3 linked regions of the Bombyx mori genome follow. The protein of the gene in region 1 interacts with the protein of each later gene in a biochemical or structural test. Links are inferred from orthologs where the notes say so. Each region holds a gene or a part of one and is shown on either strand. Other genes may lie near its edges.

Evidence for each region.
Region 2: the proteins of polyubiquitin-A (region 1) and 26S proteasome non-ATPase regulatory subunit 14 form a complex in vitro, tested with the Homo sapiens proteins (4 studies listed by BioGRID). The link is inferred for Bombyx mori from reciprocal best matches to the Homo sapiens genes UBC and PSMD14.
Region 3: the proteins of polyubiquitin-A (region 1) and ecdysteroid-phosphate phosphatase form a complex in vitro, tested with the Homo sapiens proteins (6 studies listed by BioGRID, with this or other methods). The link is inferred for Bombyx mori from reciprocal best matches to the Homo sapiens genes UBC and UBASH3B.

What each region holds. Positions count from the first base shown.
Region 1 is NC_085127.1:9,713,253-9,717,447, reverse strand, and holds the start of polyubiquitin-A, read left to right. Parts: upstream 1-1,395; 5' UTR 1,396-1,526; intron 1,527-1,785; 5' UTR 1,786-1,793; coding exon 1,794-4,195.
Region 2 is NC_085109.1:7,947,204-7,955,446, reverse strand, and holds 26S proteasome non-ATPase regulatory subunit 14, read left to right. Parts: upstream 1-3,031; 5' UTR 3,032-3,127; intron 3,128-3,252; 5' UTR 3,253-3,279; coding exon 3,280-3,457; intron 3,458-3,670; coding exon 3,671-3,827; intron 3,828-4,431; coding exon 4,432-5,032; 3' UTR 5,033-5,180; downstream 5,181-8,243. Other genes in the region: uncharacterized protein LOC101738145, read right to left, coding at 5,191-5,379, 5,870-5,953, 6,022-6,098, 6,922-7,086, 7,500-7,634.
Region 3 is NC_085131.1:8,633,198-8,641,500, forward strand, and holds the start of ecdysteroid-phosphate phosphatase, read left to right. Parts: upstream 1-2,940; 5' UTR 2,941-3,000; coding exon 3,001-3,206; intron 3,207-3,365; coding exon 3,366-3,606; intron 3,607-3,797; exon of another isoform or gene 3,798-4,221; coding exon 4,222-4,417; intron 4,418-4,635; coding exon 4,636-4,725; intron 4,726-6,715; exon of another isoform or gene 6,716-6,782; intron 6,783-7,068; coding exon 7,069-7,241; intron 7,242-8,303. UniProt on the Homo sapiens protein: Interferes with CBL-mediated down-regulation and degradation of receptor-type tyrosine kinases. Promotes accumulation of activated target receptors, such as T-cell receptors and EGFR, on the cell surface.

The DNA.
Region 1 (4,195 bases):
CACTTTGAGAAAGACTGAGATAACGGAAATAAATATAAGATTTTGATTATACACATACATATATTTAATATACATCCATAACCCTGGAAAAGACATTTATATTTATCATACAAATATCTTCCCTTGGCGGGATTCGAACCCGCGACCCCCTTGTGTAGTGACCATGTCACTTACCACTACACCAGATGGACGTTAGATTTGTTGATAGATTAGATAGATAGATGATTTGTTGATGAATTTTCGGATTATCGATATTCCCCTTCGAATCCTTACTACTTCAAATTGTTATTTTCACTGATCATACAAACCGGTTTTAAAATGAACACCTCTCAAGGGTGTTTCCTGAGCTCTATGAAATCTTCTTGTTCAATCAAGGTTTGAAAGGAGTATAGCATTGCCAGTGTCCATGAGCATCGATCAGTACTTACCGTCATATGGGCCATTGGCTATTGTATCTATTACGAAAAAAAACCACAAATACTTAAGATTAAAAGTGTTTGAAAAAACTCTAGCATTTTTTATGTGTTAATTCGAAAGTATTCTTGCCTAGCTTATTTATTCTGATGAACTGCTGCTACAATCAACGCCCTATAGGTGAACAAAATGTAATCGTTCAAAGCTCTGCCATCATTTCGTTCAGCAATTCACCATCTTCTGCTCCCCACTCCGAACGAGGAGCACTGCTGCTTGAGATACAGGTTTCATCACCTAATTCAAGCACAGATGCAAATTAAGACTGTCTTTCTACTTCTATGCTAACAATAAATAAATAAGTAATAAAAAAATGAGTATCGCCGGCAACCAGCTGTTCTTCTAGCTCTAACTTTTCTATTATTCTCATTTACAACTCCTACAAGCTGATTGAATTTTCACCGCACTCGCACATATCAGCTGTACGTTTTCACCAAGCCTTTTGGTGGGCTAATCGATATATTAGAGATAAAAACTTGTTTAAGCCTTTGCATAAGTTTTACTATTACTTCTTAAGTGAAAATAAATTTATGTGTCCTAAAGTACATATTAATTTATGATAGATATTTTTCAAAACATAAAACAATCGTCAAAGCTTAAAAACTGTTTGAATACGTATAGCAACATTCCGCCATATTGCTCAGAGTGATTTCTTTCAGGCAACGACTTCCTAAAATAGTGATCGAGAATAATCCTAAAATACAAGCCTGAAGGGAATACATGGAATTTTTAATTTATTATATTATTCATTAAATTAACTCAACTCATCTCGTCTCGTCTCGTCTCATCTCATTTCATTCATTTCATTTCATTTCACACCATGTTTCATATTAATCAACTTTATTTCATTTCATAATATCTTTTTTCATATAAAAAGTTTTCATTATAATTAAAATAAGACTTGACCTAAAAGTCTTAGTTACCAGGTCATAAAATTCTTTATTCTGCTTTCAAGAGTCAAGTTGAATTTCATTCATTCGTGAAAGAGCTACCTAGTTGCACGACGTGTCCTACAATTTGTGATAATTTTAATAATTTTTGTGAATTCCAAAAAGGTAGGAAATATTTCAATTTTTCAAAAATATCACAACTCTACTGCATGAAATAATTATTGTCAACAAGAAAAGTTTGAAAATCAAGTTTGTCATTTGTACACACAAAAAAATCTGAAACAATGACGATGTAATTTATGATCGTCGCCATTTTGTGATGACTAAAAGTCTTTGTTCTTTTGTTTTGTTCGTCAATCCATTTAATACTCCGAAATAGGGAATTCATCCGTCAATCTTCATTAAAGTTCCTTCTTTGTTCTAGAAACCACCATGCAGATTTTTGTAAAAACTCTCACTGGTAAAACCATAACATTAGAAGTCGAAGCATCCGACACCATAGAAAATGTAAAAGCAAAAATTCAAGACAAAGAGGGCATTCCTCCAGATCAGCAGCGACTGATTTTCGCTGGGAAACAACTTGAAGACGGACGGACATTATCCGATTACAATATTCAAAAAGAATCTACTCTCCATTTGGTATTACGTCTGAGAGGTGGAATGCAGATCTTTGTGAAAACACTTACCGGTAAAACCATCACACTAGAAGTTGAAGCATCTGACACCATTGAGAATGTGAAAGCCAAGATTCAGGACAAAGAGGGAATTCCCCCAGATCAGCAGCGATTGATCTTTGCGGGCAAACAGCTTGAAGATGGCCGTACATTATCTGACTACAACATCCAGAAAGAATCTACTCTGCATTTGGTGTTACGTCTCAGAGGTGGCATGCAGATCTTTGTGAAAACACTTACCGGTAAAACCATCACACTAGAAGTTGAAGCATCTGACACCATTGAGAATGTGAAAGCAAAGATTCAGGACAAAGAGGGAATTCCTCCGGATCAGCAGCGGTTGATCTTTGCGGGCAAACAGCTTGAAGATGGCCGTACACTATCCGACTACAACATCCAGAAAGAATCTACTCTGCACTTGGTTTTGAGACTGCGTGGTGGCATGCAGATCTTTGTGAAAACACTTACCGGTAAAACCATCACACTAGAAGTTGAAGCATCTGACACCATCGAAAATGTGAAAGCCAAGATTCAGGACAAAGAGGGAATTCCCCCAGATCAGCAGCGATTGATCTTTGCGGGCAAACAGCTTGAAGATGGTCGTACACTATCTGACTACAACATCCAGAAAGAATCTACTCTGCATTTGGTATTACGTCTCAGAGGTGGCATGCAGATCTTTGTGAAAACACTTACCGGTAAAACCATCACATTGGAAGTTGAAGCATCTGACACCATCGAAAATGTGAAAGCCAAGATTCAGGACAAAGAGGGAATTCCCCCAGATCAGCAGCGATTGATTTTTGCTGGCAAACAGCTTGAAGATGGTCGTACATTATCTGACTACAACATCCAGAAAGAATCTACTCTGCATTTGGTGTTACGTCTCAGAGGTGGCATGCAAATCTTTGTGAAAACACTTACCGGTAAAACCATCACACTAGAAGTTGAAGCATCTGACACCATTGAAAATGTGAAAGCAAAGATTCAGGACAAAGAGGGAATTCCCCCAGATCAGCAGCGATTGATTTTTGCGGGCAAACAGCTTGAAGATGGCCGTACATTATCTGACTACAACATCCAGAAAGAATCTACTCTGCATTTGGTGTTACGTCTCAGAGGTGGAATGCAGATTTTTGTGAAAACACTTACCGGTAAAACCATCACATTGGAAGTTGAAGCATCTGACACCATCGAAAATGTGAAAGCCAAGATTCAGGACAAAGAGGGAATTCCCCCAGATCAGCAGCGATTGATTTTTGCTGGCAAACAGCTTGAAGATGGTCGTACATTATCTGACTACAACATCCAGAAAGAATCTACTCTGCATTTGGTTTTGAGACTGCGTGGTGGCATGCAAATCTTTGTGAAAACACTTACCGGTAAAACCATCACACTAGAAGTTGAAGCATCTGACACCATAGAAAATGTGAAAGCCAAGATTCAGGACAAAGAGGGAATTCCCCCAGATCAGCAGCGATTGATTTTTGCGGGCAAACAGCTTGAAGATGGTCGTACATTATCTGACTACAACATCCAGAAAGAATCTACTCTGCATTTGGTGCTACGTCTCAGAGGTGGAATGCAGATTTTTGTGAAAACACTTACCGGTAAAACCATCACATTGGAAGTTGAAGCATCTGACACCATCGAAAATGTGAAAGCCAAGATTCAGGACAAAGAGGGAATTCCCCCAGATCAGCAGCGATTGATTTTTGCGGGCAAACAGCTTGAAGATGGTCGTACATTATCTGACTACAACATCCAGAAAGAATCTACTCTGCATTTGGTTTTGAGACTGCGTGGTGGCATGCAGATCTTTGTGAAAACACTTACCGGTAAAACCATCACACTAGAAGTTGAAGCATCTGACACCATTGAGAATGTGAAAGCCAAGATTCAGGATAAAGAGGGAATTCCCCCAGATCAGCAGCGATTGATCTTTGCGGGCAAACAGCTTGAAGATGGTCGTACACTATCTGACTACAACATCCAGAAAGAATCTACTCTGCATTTGGTATTACGTCTCAGAGGTGGCATGCAAATCTTTGTGAAAACACTTACCGGTAAAACCATCACGCTAGAAGTTGAAGCATCTGACACCATTGAGAATGTGAAAGCCAAGATTCAGGATAAAGAGGGAATTCCCCCAGATCAGCA
Region 2 (8,243 bases), on another chromosome or scaffold:
CTGTCGTGTTACAACGTAAAAACATGAATGTTTCCTTGATCAAACAATAGAATAATAATAATAACAAAGAAAACACCATTAATTCAAGAGACCAATGTTCTTTTTTTTTTATTAAATTCAAAATAAAAAAAAATAAAAAAATAATAAAATGAAACTTAAACTTAAAATTCCTCGTCTTTATGTTGGGTAACATTTTCATAAAGTTGTTTTGAACCCATTAACATGATAATACTTCTGTCAGGATCAAATGTGCGACTTCCTCCTACCAACTGTCGTAGCCCCTCTTTTCCATGCATTATTGCAACAACATTCTTATTATTAAATCAATTTCGATCTTGATTTTAAACCTATTAATATTAGAAAATATTCTTTCTATTTTGGCATTTGACAAAGGTAGTATCGTCATTTGCTTCACAATTCGGGACAAATTGCTATACCTTGGCTTGCTATTCGCATCACAGATTTGGCTGACATCACTCCAAAATTTATTCACCATAAAAGATTCAGACGTCGAACAAGAAGTTGACAACAAATTAGACACGGAAACATCTCATTTTAATTATATTCTTTGTCAACAATTTCCTTTTTTTTTTTTTTCCTACCTAAACTGAGAGCCTTGAGAGGCTATTTCAGCGTAACCCTAACGTTTGTAGGTGAGCTCACGGGGCTCAAACCTGACGACGATGCTAACACGAACCCTAGCAAGAGCCGTGCTTCGCAGAATCTACCACCGGATCGGAAACGCGACCCACTGAGAAGATCCGGCTAGAAACTCAGTGGGCTGTGTCTAGGAGTTAATTTACTCGTCGAGCCCTTCGTCGCAAGCGACGGGTTCGACAAGAACGGTGACCGGTGCTTGAAGTACCTAGAAGCACCGTTAGTGGATCGGGAGGATCCGAGATGATGTGTTTTGGGTGACGTCGACTGCTTTCCATTCTGTCCGCAGGATCGGGAATGTAGTTACCGGCGGCCACGATGAGAGGGTTCTCGTGTCGTGCCGCTTTATCGAAGTGGCGCATCGACGCCGACTGAAGATTGCTGATGGACTCTAAGTCCAGGTCGTCATGGAGGTCGACGTTCCTGACGAACCACGGGGCTCCGACGGCTATCCTGCAAAAATGGGATTGAATAATTTGGAAGGATTTTAAGTGAGTGCGGGCCGCGTGAGCGAACACTACACTTGCATAGGTCATGACGGGGCGTATGCAAGTTTTGTAGAGTGTCACCTTATTTCTAAGGGACATTTTACTTCGCCTGCATATCATCGGGTAGAGACGTCCTAGTATAAAGGCGGCACGGTCGCGTACCGTCTTGATGTGGGGGCGGAATGTCATCCTACTGTCGAGGGTGACGCCTAAATATTTGACCTTTGGGGCCCACGGTATGGGCTGGTCGAACATCACCACACTTTGCATGTTTTCTGTTACAACTACAAGGATATCGCGATGAATGGGACATCGTGATATCCTTGTGTATATTTATGTTTCATTTTAAGCTCCCGAAATATCCCGAATGTATCCAAAATGCCAAAAAAGTACTAGATTACCTGAAAAGACTGAATTCTACTAAAATATACCAAATAATTTTTACATACTAAATTCTGTTGCCAGTACCTCAGAATCTACCAAAAAAGTAGAAATCTACTAAATCTGGTCACGCTGCAAGTGACAGTATTGAATGACATTATTGACGCATTTGTGTTTACTTTTCCTATACTGGAAAGGCGAATGAATCATACCAAATGCTCTTGTCTGCTTTTTATTATTTTATAAAAGGCAAAATGAATTTACCTTACGGTAATTGTAGCCAGACGGCTGGCTGATCCTCAGACGGCTGGCTGATCCTTCGGCTGGTCGTAGGACCGTCGAGGCGATTCGCCCGGTCCTTGTGGATTGGGTGAATCGTAACAGAGGACGCCTCACTTTCCGGCTCACGCTTTCAGTGCTCACTGGGCATGGTTGCTTCGGTGAGTTCCTGCACCGGATTAGAGCCGAGCCGACGGCACCATTGTGATTGCGACTTGGACACGGCAGAGCATACGCTCGTCGCCTGCCCCGCATGGGAGGGGTGGCGCCGTGTCCTTGTCGCAAAAGTAGGAAACGACTTGTCGTTGCCGAGTGTTCTGGCATCGATGCTCGGCGACGACGAGTCGTGGAAGGCGATGCTCGACTTCTGCGAGTGCACCATCTCGCAGAAGGAGGCGGCGGGGCGCGTGAGAGACGCACAATCCCGCCGCCGTCGAGCGGGGGCCAGGGAGGCGGATCTCGCCCAAGCCCTGGCCCTCTAAGGTTTTCGGGTCCCCCCTCACATGTCGGTCTGGGAACCGGCGAGGGGGGCCTAAGAAGACGACGTGCAAGCTGCTCTGCACGCGTTTTACGCAAGAGCATCCGGGTGATGGAAGGCCGGCTATCCTCGACCCACGCTGGTTCTGGTCCAGTGGGGTATTCCGTAGGATAGCTCACTCTAACCGGCGCCATCTAGGCGGGCTTCGGATAGCCTGCCGACCGAGAGGGCTGGTGGTCGTGGCGCCGACGACCGCCGGTCCGGCGTCCAGAGGGGGAGGGTGATGGGAGAGATGTGCTCCGCACTAAACGCTTCACTTTCGCTAGCAACGTCGTCAGATTTGAGCCCCGTGTGCCCACCTACTAGTTAAGGTTACGCTGAAATAGCCTCTCAAGGCTTATCAGCTTAGGTAAGAAAAAAAAGACATCGAATTGTACGTTAATTAATGATGACTAAGAAACGTTCGGAAATTGATAGAGGAAGTTTCGCGTTGAACCTAGATTTTTTTAGGGTGTCATTGTGTTTTGTATTTTCATAAATATCCTGGACCATACTGTGATATTTTTTTTTTGTTTACTTGAAGAAAAAAAACTTTTCAAACGCTTAAGCTGAGAAAAAATATTTTTTCTGAATAAGATTTCTCTTTTTCAAAAGGTTCACATGATTAATGAACGGAAGTAAGACATGAGAAAGCATTTTCTGCGTGAGTTGAGTAAATGTCATTTTGTCAAACTAGTAGTCAAGTCACCCGAGGTTCATACTAAACTGATTCTTTGCATTACTGTGTTTTTTATATGTTATTTCTATTGTGAAATTTAACTAGAAGAAATACACTTGATTAGATGTAAGTAGCTACAAGAAAAAAAATTGGAGTCCTGCACAACTTTGGGATACCTACCCACCGCATCATTGTTTCGATTGCGCTTTCTGTGGCGATATGAGTACTGTTATGTTTTATATGTTTTGCAGTGTGAAAGTTAAGAGGTAGAAACTGAAATGGATCGTCTTCTTCGTCTTGGTGGTGGAATGGCGGGCTTATCACAGGCGCCACCTCCTACCGATGCTCCAGCAGTGGACACCGCGGAGCAAGTGTACATCTCTTCCCTAGCACTCCTTAAAATGCTGAAACATGGACGTGCTGGCGTTCCTATGGAGGTTATGGGTCTCATGCTCGGTCAGTAAAACAAGTTTTTCATGAAATTATTATGATTATAAACTTGGTAAATTAAATTAGATCTGTAACAAAATGTGAATACACATTCATTAAAATCACAAAATTCTATTTTTAGTAGTAGAAGTCGGTCTTAGTGACTAAAGTATTCAACCAAATGTACGATTTTATGTTGCCTGTATTTGTGGAAATTCTAAAGAAAATATTTTATTTCAGGAGAGTTTGTAGATGACTATACAGTTCGAGTTATTGATGTATTTGCTATGCCACAAACCGGGACTGGAGTATCTGTAGAGGCTGTTGATCCAGTCTTCCAAGCTAAGATGTTGGACATGTTGAAACAAACAGGACGACCCGAAATGGTTGTTGGATGGTTAGTGTCTTTAAAGTAAATTATACAAAATAAGAATTACAATAATATTGAAAAGAAATAAGTCAACATTGCACAATGACATTCAAAACAGATTATTATTTTAGTTTTTATAATACTTAATCAACTTTGTATGTCTAAGATGTTAGTTTTCTGTTAAGATATATGGCGAAATATATTGTGGTGCTAAGGTGTCTTATGAGCTTGCTCTTATAAATGAAGTACCACTACCCTACTTATCTTCTACAATGATGCAGCGTTGACTTTAGGTTTAAAGGATGGGGACAATCTTTTCACCATACAATTGGGACATAGACCTCATGTCTTAAGGTGGGTGGCAGTTTTGACATAATTACTTCTAAGCTTTTTTATTATTATTGCTTAGACGGGTGGATAAACTCACTCCGCACCTGGTGCTTAGTGGTTACTGGAGCCCATAGACATTTACAATGTAAATGTCACCATCTTGGTTTGCATACATAAACTTAAAGTAAATTATAAGAACTTTACTAATTTATGTAGAATATAGTATTCTGCCCATAGCATAGGTTTTGACACTGGATAGTTGTTACTATTGTGATGTTCATTGTTCAACATTGATTTACAGGTATCATTCACATCCTGGCTTTGGTTGTTGGTTATCTGGTGTGGATATCAACACTCAACAGTCATTTGAAGCATTATCGGAACGTGCAGTAGCTGTTGTGGTTGATCCCATCCAGTCGGTAAAGGGTAAAGTTGTGATAGACGCGTTCCGCCTTATCAACTCAAATATGATGGTACTTGGACAAGAGCCCAGACAAACCACCTCAAATCTCGGGCACCTCCAGAAACCATCTGTACAAGCTCTTATACATGGATTAAATCGTCACTACTATTCAATTAGTATAAATTATAGAAAGAACGAGTTGGAACAAAAAATGTTGTTGAATTTACATAAGAAGTCCTGGATGGATGGACTAACTTTATCTGACTACAAAGAGCATTGTTCTGTTAATGAGTCCACAGTTACCGACATGCTGGAATTAGCTAAAAACTATAATAAGGCTTTAGAAGATGAGGAGAAGATGACTCCAGAACAATTAGCCATTAAGAATGTAGGCAAACAAGATCCTAAAAGACATTTAGAGGAGAAAGTGGATGTGCTCATGGCCAACAACATAGTCCAGTGTCTAGGAGCTATGCTTGACACTTTGGTATTCAAATGATTTTTGATGTGACAGACAGTATATACAATAAGTCTTAAAATAACTAGGATGGTTATCTTTAACACGTCTCATGGTTTTGTAATGTAAAAATAACTGTACTATTTTACTGAATTGTACCTAAAACACTAAATAAAAGTCTTTATTAGTGATAACATTTATTAATTAAACAATTTTTGTGCTCCTATTTCATTTTGAATTTTTATTAGTCTCTTTTTAACTGTAGGATAGTACTTTAAATTTGTGAAATCTATGTCAAACATTGGTTGTTGATTCTTTTGAGAGTTGACAATATTACGAATGATAGATTTCAATTTTTGAAATGCTTCTTCATTATCGTCCACTACGATCTGATGAGTAATAAAACATATATGCACATATAACATTTTCATCATTAAGTTCTGCAAGTCAAGGCATCCGCAATCAAGACACTTAAAATCAACAAAAATTATCATCAATGGGAGAAATTGCCATTTTCGTATTGAGGACAGACATTTCAAGGCAATCGGAGCTTTGCTGATGTAATGCTGTTGTGAATCAGTCATGAGTGCGATCGGTAACTACTTAACTTAAGGTGGAAAGTATATTCACCCATACTCTTATTATAATAAAATCATATTGTAATTAAAACAAAAAAAAACTCGGTTTGTGCAGTGCCAATGCTCTTAATTAAATATAAAGAAAATAAGTAATAAGGTGGTGTCTGGGCTAAAGGCATTGTAAAAAAATTGGGCAATCCAAAAAAAATCTGTTGGATTTCGTAAGTTCTAACAGACATTATGTAAGTAAGTTCTGGATTTAGGGTATGTACATTACAAGGTTGTTGGTTTGTATACATACAGTGTCCCAGAAAAGACCTGGACATTTTCGATGGATTTCATCGTAATCATCTCTTATATTTGTTGTAAAAGATTCGCTGGGTATCTGTGAAACAAACATGTATTGTCAGGAAAACGGTTCTCCCATATACACAGCAAAATATCAATAGTTACTTTTTCATAAAAATCCATTTGATGAATTATTGAATCTGGATTATCGATTTTGGTATCGTGTCGTTGCACCGTTTCCGCTGTAAAAATATGAGACAAGATTATTATAATGCACCAGCTGACCCGGCAGACTTCGTAGCGCCTCAATCGATTAATAAAGGACCTAAACTTTTGTATAAAATAAATTTAAAACAAAAGGAATCCGTCCGACGCGGGCCACATCAACAAATTTACTATTTTTATTTAATTCCGAGCATTTTCATATTTACCTTTTTAAACCTTCTCTGAACTTCCACAAGCCGTTTTCGAGTTTTAGCGAGACTAACGAACAGCAAATAATTTATATATATTTAGATACTCTCATAGAAGCGATTATTATTAAAATATACTCTCCGAATTTGGAATATGGCTACCTTTTATTTGACAGAAGTTTTAAAATTATTATACAGTGTGGGTAGTTTTTTTTTCTACAACTGCGGGTATTTATTTATCAGTTTACTCCGAGGCGAAGTGGAGCAATGTTACGCAAAACAATATAATATAATATAACAATATAAGATAATAAGCAAACTATACGCAACTATTTCGTAATAATCACTGCGTCAGGATCTACACTATAGCATAGTGACATGACTCCTTATGAGGACATTGCTAAACCCTACAGCTAGTATCAAATGGTAGAAGTTCTATTGTCAAAGAGTTCAAAGGATTTTTATTAATAAATGGCAGTTTTAAATACCTACATACATACAAATGAAGTGGGAGTGAATGCTTCCGTATAACATTTTAGTACAACTATTTCACACTAATTATATGTAGTAATTCTTCAAAAAATGATATAGAGAGCGACTACGAGATTTTCTCAAAAAAAATTACAAACTAATATACAAAAGTTAAACTCACTATAAGAAATATTTCTTGCATCGCTGGATTGCATCAGGCCTGTTTCAGTCAGAAATGCAAGCCAGAGATCTTGGTCATCGAGTGATCCGCCTGATCCGAGTCGTGGAAGAGCCCGCGCAGGCCACGGTAGTCGAGTGCTAATTGAACGTATGTTTTTTGTGTTTGCTGTGACATAGAAATTAGGAAAATGTTTGTACACAACGTTTCAGATTTTTAGATTTTGACTTTAAGTAGTATCCTTATTAAATTTAATAAAAATCTTACGTTACGGACGTTTTTTCCCGGTTAGGGTACCCCTCCGCATCGTTCTGTAAGGAACTTCGTTCCAAAATTTGAATAGGTACTTACTAATCGTATGCCTACAGATACTTATGTGGATGTTGAAGTTCGTGTAAGGTTGACCGAAGATTTGCCAATTGAGAGATTAAAAAAGAATATGTATCGACAATCGACTCAACCTGGCTTTTTTGTAATGTAGCCAATTACTACAATACTAATTGCTACACAAATTTAATCTAAGTATTTCTATTCTTAGCTGAATGAGTGTTTTATAACTTCGTTTCTCCAAAGCATTTTACCTTCCTTTTCCGTCTGAGGTTCGATCAGCATTCCACTAGGGTCAACATAATTTTTGTTTTGTCCATTGTTGTTATCTTGTGAAATGAATGTTACCGATTTCGAGGATTTCGAACCGTCGGGAACGACTGACAACCCTAAAATACACGTTTTTAATGAAAAAAGTGAGATCTTAATCGTAACTCATTTTAAAAATATTAGATTCTTTCGTTGGGTTCCGTTCAATTTCCGGTAGGTGTTTTCATTTTTACCCCCCGTGGCCGGGTATCTGTCAACTGTGATTTCCCACCGATTATTTTGCAAGAATTTTGCTTTGTTTATTCTAAGTTAATTTGGACGTTGACTGATGTTAATTTTATTAAAACCAATAAGCTTAAATGTAGAAAATAATTACAACAAAGAATTTTATATTTCGAAGAGATGAATGCATTAAATAGTCTGTATCAGTTTGAAAGTGGAGTGTAATTATTTTAAAGAGTTAAAACTTTTTGGTGGAAATTAAGAAATGAAGTCTTATCTCTTTTCTGCAAAACGAGTTTTAGCATAGAGTTTAGACTGACAGTTGTGAATTTCTCGTCATTGTTCAAAACAGTTTGCTTATCTCTCCACATGAAACGAAGACCCATAAAAGTTCCATAGTTATCAACAGATAGATGTTTTCGTTGATCGGCCAATTATAGGTTTGTTTTGTAAAAATTACTCAGATTAAGTTTTAAATTGTTATTTTAAATTGATTTTATATACCT
Region 3 (8,303 bases), on another chromosome or scaffold:
GGCCATTATTGGTTCGCGAAAATGCGGCGTCTCGTCCGGAAGTATGTTACCTCCTGCCTTGAGTGCGCGTACCACAAAGCTCCAGGTGATAAACGAGAAGGAGAACTCCACCCAATCGAAAAGATAAAGGTACGAGTTTCACCAGTAAGGCGTTTCAAGATTTTACGACCTCTTACGGGATCAAACATATTGTAAATGCCGTTGCAACGCCTCGAGCAAACGGGCAAGTAGAAAGGTTTAATAGAACGATTTTAGATGCTCTATCGACAGCCAATCACGGCGGCGACGACAAGTCGTGGGACAACCACATCACTGATATACAGGTTGGTATGAACACAGCTCGACATAAAACTACCCAAAAGAGCCCCTCTGAGCTACTATTTGGATTTAACATAATTAATAGAACGGAAAGCATACTTAGTACGGTAATCAATGACACCCTAAATAGGACTCCCATTGAGGAATTGGCGGAAGTCAGACAACAGGCTAGTAAAAAAAAAAAAAAAACAGCAACAAGTTAAAGATGCAGTCAATTTTAATAAGCATAGGAAACCAGCGAGGCAGTACCAAGAAGGGGATTTAGTACGCTTAGCAAGGCAGGCTCCGCACGATGGAAAATCTCAAAAGCTCTCTGTTAAGTACCAAGGCCCTTATCGTATACTAAAGGTTCTTCCCAATGATAGGTTCGTGGTAGAAGATATACCAATGACTCGCAAAAAAGGTAGAAGGTATGAAGCAGTTGTATCTATTGATAAGATTCAGCCTTGGATGTCGTTCTGTAGAGAATTAGAATCTGATGAATCTAGTTATAGTGTTGATGACAGTGATTAGATACTTGATTACTCAGTTTATGTTTGACATTTAGTTACTTAAGAAAGAAATTGTTATTTTAATTATTATTTTGATAGAACTTAAAACCATGGAAACGATTTAGCGATAGATATGTGTATGTACTTAGTATTTATAGCAAAAAAAATGTTTAAAAAAAATGTTACACGTCATATATAAACCTAGTGTATAATTAATTGCATTTATTATTATTATTTTTTTTGTAACATATATATTTTGTTTTTTTTTCTTGATCTCAAAGCGAAGGGTCTCGCTTTAGGTAGGATGGCCGAGCTGTAAGGTTTATGATTATTTATATTAATATGATTATATAGAGTGTAAGGTTTCTGATTATTTATATGATTATATAGAGTCCTGTACATATTAAGAATTATTATTAAATATGAGGTTTATATTGCAAACCATTAAAATATTGTTAAGTTATAAATTCAACAGTTGACAAATGTCGTCAATAGATGTCACAGGCTAACAAAATTACATCGCGGTAGCGTTGTGTGTAAAAATTTGTATAAGAAGTCCAAAGTAATTATGAATAAATCAAGAACCAAACGCATCAATGTAAAATTGGCAGATTAAAGCAAAGTGTGAACAAAGTTAGCCTGTTTAATTTATATGTCTGACACCCAAAATTTGTGTTCCCTTCCCTCGCCCTAATAACTCCTCGAAGACGATTCTTCATAGACCTGATCAGCTTTTGAATTGATTCTTGTGGGATACCTTCCCACTTCTCAATCAACGCCGATTTCAGCTCATTCAGGCATGAAGGAGCAGAAGTTCTGGAACGAACCCTATTCTTCAGTTCATCCCACACGTGCTCAATAGGATTCAAGTCAGGGCTGAGCGCAGGCCAGTCCAATGTGGCGATATAGACTTCTTCGAAGTATTCAGTTGTTCCACTGGCAGTGTGACAACGAGCGTTATCGTGCTTAAGGAGGAAGCTATCACCGGCATATCCCGCATAGGGAACGACATGTTCCAGCAGAATATTGGAAATGTATCGGTCCGAAGTTAGACCGCCTCCTCGTCCCCCGCCAGGCACGAAAACAAGCTCGGTTTTACCGTCGAAGGAAATGCCGGCCCACATCATACAAGAGCCGACCCCATAAGCCACTGTTTCAGCGAAACAGCACTGCGCAAATCGCTCCCCAGGCCGCCTGTAGACCCAACCTCTTCGGTCGCTACCATGCAAACACATCCTGCTCTCGTCGGAGAACAGGATTTGCCTCCATTGCTCAACCTCTCAATTAAGATTGGTACGAGCAAATTGAAGGCGTGCTTGTCGATGAGCTACCGTGAGTTTCGGCCCTGTGACAGGCCTTTTTGGAGTCAGATTCGCTTGCTTGAGTCGTCGAAGAACTGTCTACTTGCTAGCTGCTACCCTACGAACATCTCGGAACTCCTGTTGGACGTCGACACCAGGTTAATGCCGATTTCGGAGAGAGGTTAACACGATAAAACGGTCATTCCTCTCCGATGTGCCCCAGCGCCGTCCAGATCTTGGTCTCGAGATAAAGCTACCAGTCTCTTGAAAGCGCTTGCAAACTTTTGAAACACAGGAATGGCTTATTTGGAGCCGACGAGCGACAACCCGCTGGCTGAGCTCTTCTTGCAATAGGGCTACGATTTGTGCTACTTCTGTAGGTGTTGTCCCAATTGTCGTACAAGGTAAAGGGTCAAAAGTAGCCGAGATATGTACCGGTCAACGTGTGAAAGTCGACTGATAAAGAAAATCCGATAACAGGTGCTTTTAGAGGGGTCAATAGGCCGCAACTCGCGACGTATCAAGCAATTGAAACACGTCTTTTTCGTTATTCCTTCACTTAATCCAAGATAACTTCTTAAATACTGGTTTGATTTTAATTAATTTGGTATCAGTTTAAGGTTAAGAGCTCAACCTTTAAAATGATCTCATTTTTATGATTATCAAAAAAATATGTAGTACACAAGATCGCGCGGAACCAATTTCAAGTAAGTGATTCCAAACTTTTGCTCGCGAGTGTAGTTGAAAGGATGGTTGTTGGTATCATAAAATTATCATAAAATCTAAATATCCATGATCATAGATTATACACTTAATATTCGAGATCCATGATTGTCAAATGACATTCTGATAAATGTCAATGTTCAGTCTTAACAAACCTAAACTGTCAAATGTCAAAAAGTTCAATTCTCATTTTCTCTGTTTTGATGCCGGTTCTGATAACGACTAATATTATAAGAAATATTTTATGTAAATGCTTATTTCTGGGGAAAATGGCTAATTTGCCTCCACGAAAAGTTACTTCAGCTAGCAAATCAAAACAAGATGCTTCTCCACTGCAAATACTTTTGCAAATGGGTTTTAGAAGGCAAAGAGCGTAAGTTTGTAGCGACACTTTGTCTATATTATGTGGTAATAAATGTAGTAGTAGTATCTAGTTTGGAACCACAATAAATTGTACAAGCAAATTTAAAGAAATCAAAACTTAATTGGGCCACAGTAAATATAATACTACAATATAATTTAAATTGCTTAGGTTGAAAGCTTTAGCAGCAACTGGTAACCGCAGTGTTCAACTCGCCTCTGACTGGCTATTGACACACGTTAGTGACTCGAATATAGATGCTGATGATCCTCGCGAGTATATCTTCTATGCCAGTCCTACAGGACCTTTACTCTCACAACTCCTAGAATTCTGGGATAAGTCTAAGGCAACGTGTGGTTGGAATGGAGCTCATAATTTTTTACCTCACATCACTTTAGTATCTTTTTTCAAGGTAATAAAAAATATATCATACATTCCTGTTGATTCCTCTATCAATTTATGCATAGTCCCTGTAAACAAACATTTATAAATAATGTAAGCCTCATTTTATTTTTTGTCAGATCTTTGAATTGTTTAGGTTTATTTTAATTTACTATATTTTGCCACCAACAATTTATTTACAATTTAAGCTATGGTTTTTAGAGTTAAATGGAAACTGGGCTATAGGTATTATTTCAGATAATAGATATGTCAATCCTCATCCCCACTTCCAGATATAAGATATGAGTTACATTTGTAACAATGGCTATTTTAATTCTGCAGCTAATTTTAAAATTTAGTCAGGTTCTACAAAAATTGGATATTAATTTTATACACATTAAATATATAGATAAATTGATCCAAAAAAGAAGACACCACAACCATCAATGGTCATTGTTTTTGGAAATGCTTCGCTTATGCCTTGTACATACATATATGCAAAGTAATTATTATTTATTACAAATAATTATAAAGAATGGATGGATATAGAACTGATGTGATTGATAAATGTTTATTATTAACATATCTTATGAAATAATAGTACATATCTAAACAAATAATCGCAACAGTAAAAAAATATCCATAGGCACCCGATGATACATCTCTTAATTTAGCAAAAGCAGTTCGGCAAGTTGTCGAGAATGTGGGTGACCCACCTAAATGCACTCTTAAGCTCGAACCCTATGTATCACACAACTTTATGGGCTTGTTTATCTCTGAAGAACATGCTGAGTATTTGAAAAAAATTGCAGTGCAATATGTCAAGCAAGTGTCTTCAGTTTGTAAGTATATCTATAAAAGAAGAAATCAATCTAAGAAAAAATATTGTAGATTCTCACTATTTTAATGTAAACTTTATAGTTAAATATCTATTACCATTATTAGAAACAGCATGTACTGGTTATTTCTAGAAATTAGGTACTGTTGACTTATTTGACCCTAATCTGATTATGAAGAAAATAGTCTTTATTTATTTGACATTATGTCTGTGTTACTTCAGTGGGTGTAATGGTGGACACATATGAACATTTGGATGCATTAGGAACATGCTTTCCGTGGTGTGCAATGGCACAAGAAAAGAATCTTAAATGTAAGAGTGGATATTCTAACAGCTTGCTTTGATGTAATAACATTTTTGTGACTATTTTTATTCTAAATACAAAGCAGTAGTTTCTTGACTTGACTATACTAAATATATTAATGTTTTCGTGGCTTAATCGGTAAAGTGTATACATATACTGATACTAAGATTTGCATGTATGTACCTAACGAACAACTTCCATGATGAAGGAAATCAAAATAATAATATGCGTAATGAAACTGAATTAAGTTTGAGTAATAACTAGTTGGACACTGGACTCTGAGACCACTCTGAAAGATACTTTCATGTTGTCTATTGCTTCCTCAGAAGTGTTCATGATTTTCAGTTTTAAGGGTGAGGTATTCTCTGTACTTTTTTTTTTGTTTATTGCCTTACAGGCAGATGAGCACACGGCTCACCTGATGGTGAGTGGTTACCGTTGCTCATGGACGTCAGCAATGCCAGGGGTAGAGCCAAGCCGCTGCCTACCGTTTAATACTCTCCACAAGCCTTGTTTAAAGAAGGACATGTCATAGCGCTCGGGAAACACCATGGAGGGGAGTTCATTTCATAGCCGGATGGTACGTGGCAAAAAAGATCTCTGGAAACGCACTGTGGATGAATGTAGTGGCACCACGTAGTATGGATGAACTTTACTCCGGTGGCGGGAGGTTCGATGGTAAAAACGAGATGTTGGTATCATCTCGAACAATTCCTCTGAGCACTCCCCATGGAACATACGGTACAAAATACAGAGGAAACTGAAGTCCCTCCGCAGACCCAGAGGTTCCAATCGATCCGTAAGAATGGGATTATCAACAATCCGAACGGCTCTTTTCTGTATGGAATCAAATGGAAGTAGCTGGTATTTGGGAGCCCCGGCCCAGAAATGGGAGCAGTACTCTACGCGATGCCGGACCTGTGCTTTGTAAAGCAAAAGTCTTTGTCCAGGCGTGAAGTACCGCTTCGCTCTGTTGAGGACTCCCAGCATTTTTGACGCCAACTTGGCTTTGCCCTCCAAATGACTCCGAAATTGGACATCGCTCGAAATGTCGAGCCCAAGTATCCCAATATTCTTGGAAGGTTGTAGGGATACACCTTGGAATTGCGGCGCCATGACAAAGGGGTCCTTCTTCGCAGTGAACGCGCAAACCTGTGTCTTCAACGGGTTGAATTGAACCAAATTTACTTCACCCCACTCGGAGGCTCGCCCCAGAGAGTTCTCCACTTCAAACACAAGTTTTGAATGTCTCTCCTGCACTACGCTCCGTGAGAGAATCTGATGGCCGATATATCGCACATCCCCCGTGCTGTCATCCGCATAGCAATGCATGCCATAAATAGACAGCATGTCATTGATATACAAGATGAAAAGCGTGGGGGAGAGCACCGAACCTTGTGGAACGCCAGCGTTAATGGTCATGGTATCAGAGCATTCACCGTCTAGAACGACCGTGATGATCCGCCCATCCAAAAAGCTAGCGATCCACTTGCAGAGCCCCTTGGGGATTCCGTAAGCTGGCATGACGTCGACATTTCATGTCACAAGGTGGGTGAAGCCATTTACATTGATGTTGATTATTGCTTCTTCTTCATCATGTAACGAATTGTTGTCGGTTGCAATCTAGAATCGCTTAGTAATAAATGAGAGAAGTTAGGAGGATGCGAGCCCTCATGCAGGTTGCTTAATGGTTCTAGCATTTACTGGGGCAAATACACTTATAACTTTTTAGAAGATTCTGCTAATACCTTACCTACCTGAAAAACCTGAAAATCTATTACCACCAAACTTTTAAAACGGGAAAGTGCAAGAAATTAACCCAAAATTAAGGCTGTAATTGTGGAAAGAACGAAATGTGATGTAATCTACATATCCTTTGTTTAATATGAAACTGCTGCTATGTATATTGTTTGTCGCATGGCATGAAATAAAACAATATAATTGTCTAGTTTAAAAAATTTAAATGCACGTGATTCAAATGTATTTATTTCATTCAAGCCTAAAAACACCACCTTTTTCTTCAGTGGCGGCCTGCCAATTTAATCTTACACTACATGCTTCTAAGGTAAATACGCTTTTATATAATACGTACATATATACCTATATGCTACATTTATTTTAATAACAATTAGTTCTTTCGAATCTGTTAGTTCTGTTTGTTGTGTTTAGAAAATTTGCCGTAGTTGATTTTTGTAATAAAAAATGCTGTAGCTCTATTTCATACGTATATTGTAACGTAGTTTACTTATCACCAATACGTATTTTCTTGAAATAGATTTTTAAGCTTACTAGAAATATTGAATGACATTAAGAACGAATAAGTTTATTTAATATATATTTTTGAACAATAGCATCAATAAACCTGGAAGCGCACGTAAAATCTCTTCATATCACACTGGCGTACCATTTTGAGGAATCATCGTATGAGGATCTGAAGAGCCTGGTGGAGGAGATGCAGCCAGTCGAACACTCCAGCTGGGAGCTCAGGCTTTATTCGAGGGATCCACGTTTCGCTAATCATCAGGTAATCGGGATGATTCCAAACTAGGCCTTTCTATATGGCCGTATGAAATGAGATATTAGGTCGGTATCAAATGTATTGTCGACTGGTTTGATTTTGCTGTTATAGTTACAATAAATTCATAATGAAAGAACTAGTTTATAACATCATAATATCATCATGATCATTAGATCAGCGGGTACTTTTGCCCTTTGACTGTCATGTAGGTTACTGATGCCCTACGTGGCGCACTGAAGGAATTAAGTCGATTTCTGTTACTAAAAGCTTGATTGCACAACTTTATATTATTTTGTTTGTTAATGTAAGTCTTTTAGGTCGATATAAATCGATTCGATTCGTTCTTATTAATTAATTCTTAATTCGTCTTTCCCAGAGTCTACTTATTATTGCGACGCCTTAGTAACAGAAATCGCTATAATTACTTCAGTGCTCCACGCTGTATTATCTATGACGTAGGACACTGGTGACCAGTATAGTGCGAGTTTTGAACGTTTCCGATACCGTAACAGTTAGCTCATATTTGTATGGAATGGGATCGTTTACCTACGTTTGCCGTTAGGGACGTTTGGGACGCTGTTCCAACTGCATACAAAATTGGGTTAACTTTTACGCTATCGAGAACGTTAAAAAGCTCGCACTAAGCACACTGCATGGCAATCAATGTGTAGGTGAAAAAATAGAACTGTCTATCATGTAGGAAGTACCTACAGCGTTGCTGTGCTTATAATATTGAAACAATCTATCTATTAACTACTTAATTAAATTAATATTGATTTATTCAATGATTCGGGCTACCATATCAATTTGACAAAATTACCGAACATTTTCTGGGGAAGAAATTTTCTTTGGGTGAATCCAATGAAAAACTTAGTTAAAGTCAAAAATATATTTATGATAACCAATATTAAACACAGCTTTCAGAAATATCTTTTGATGTCTAAATATTTTGGCATAAAATTCACGTGAATGTTGCGAACTTATAACTCTTTCGTTAAATATAGATTTAACGAAAGAGTTCGCACATATCATACAACAATAGTGTTGTATGAAACTGTCATTGTACTA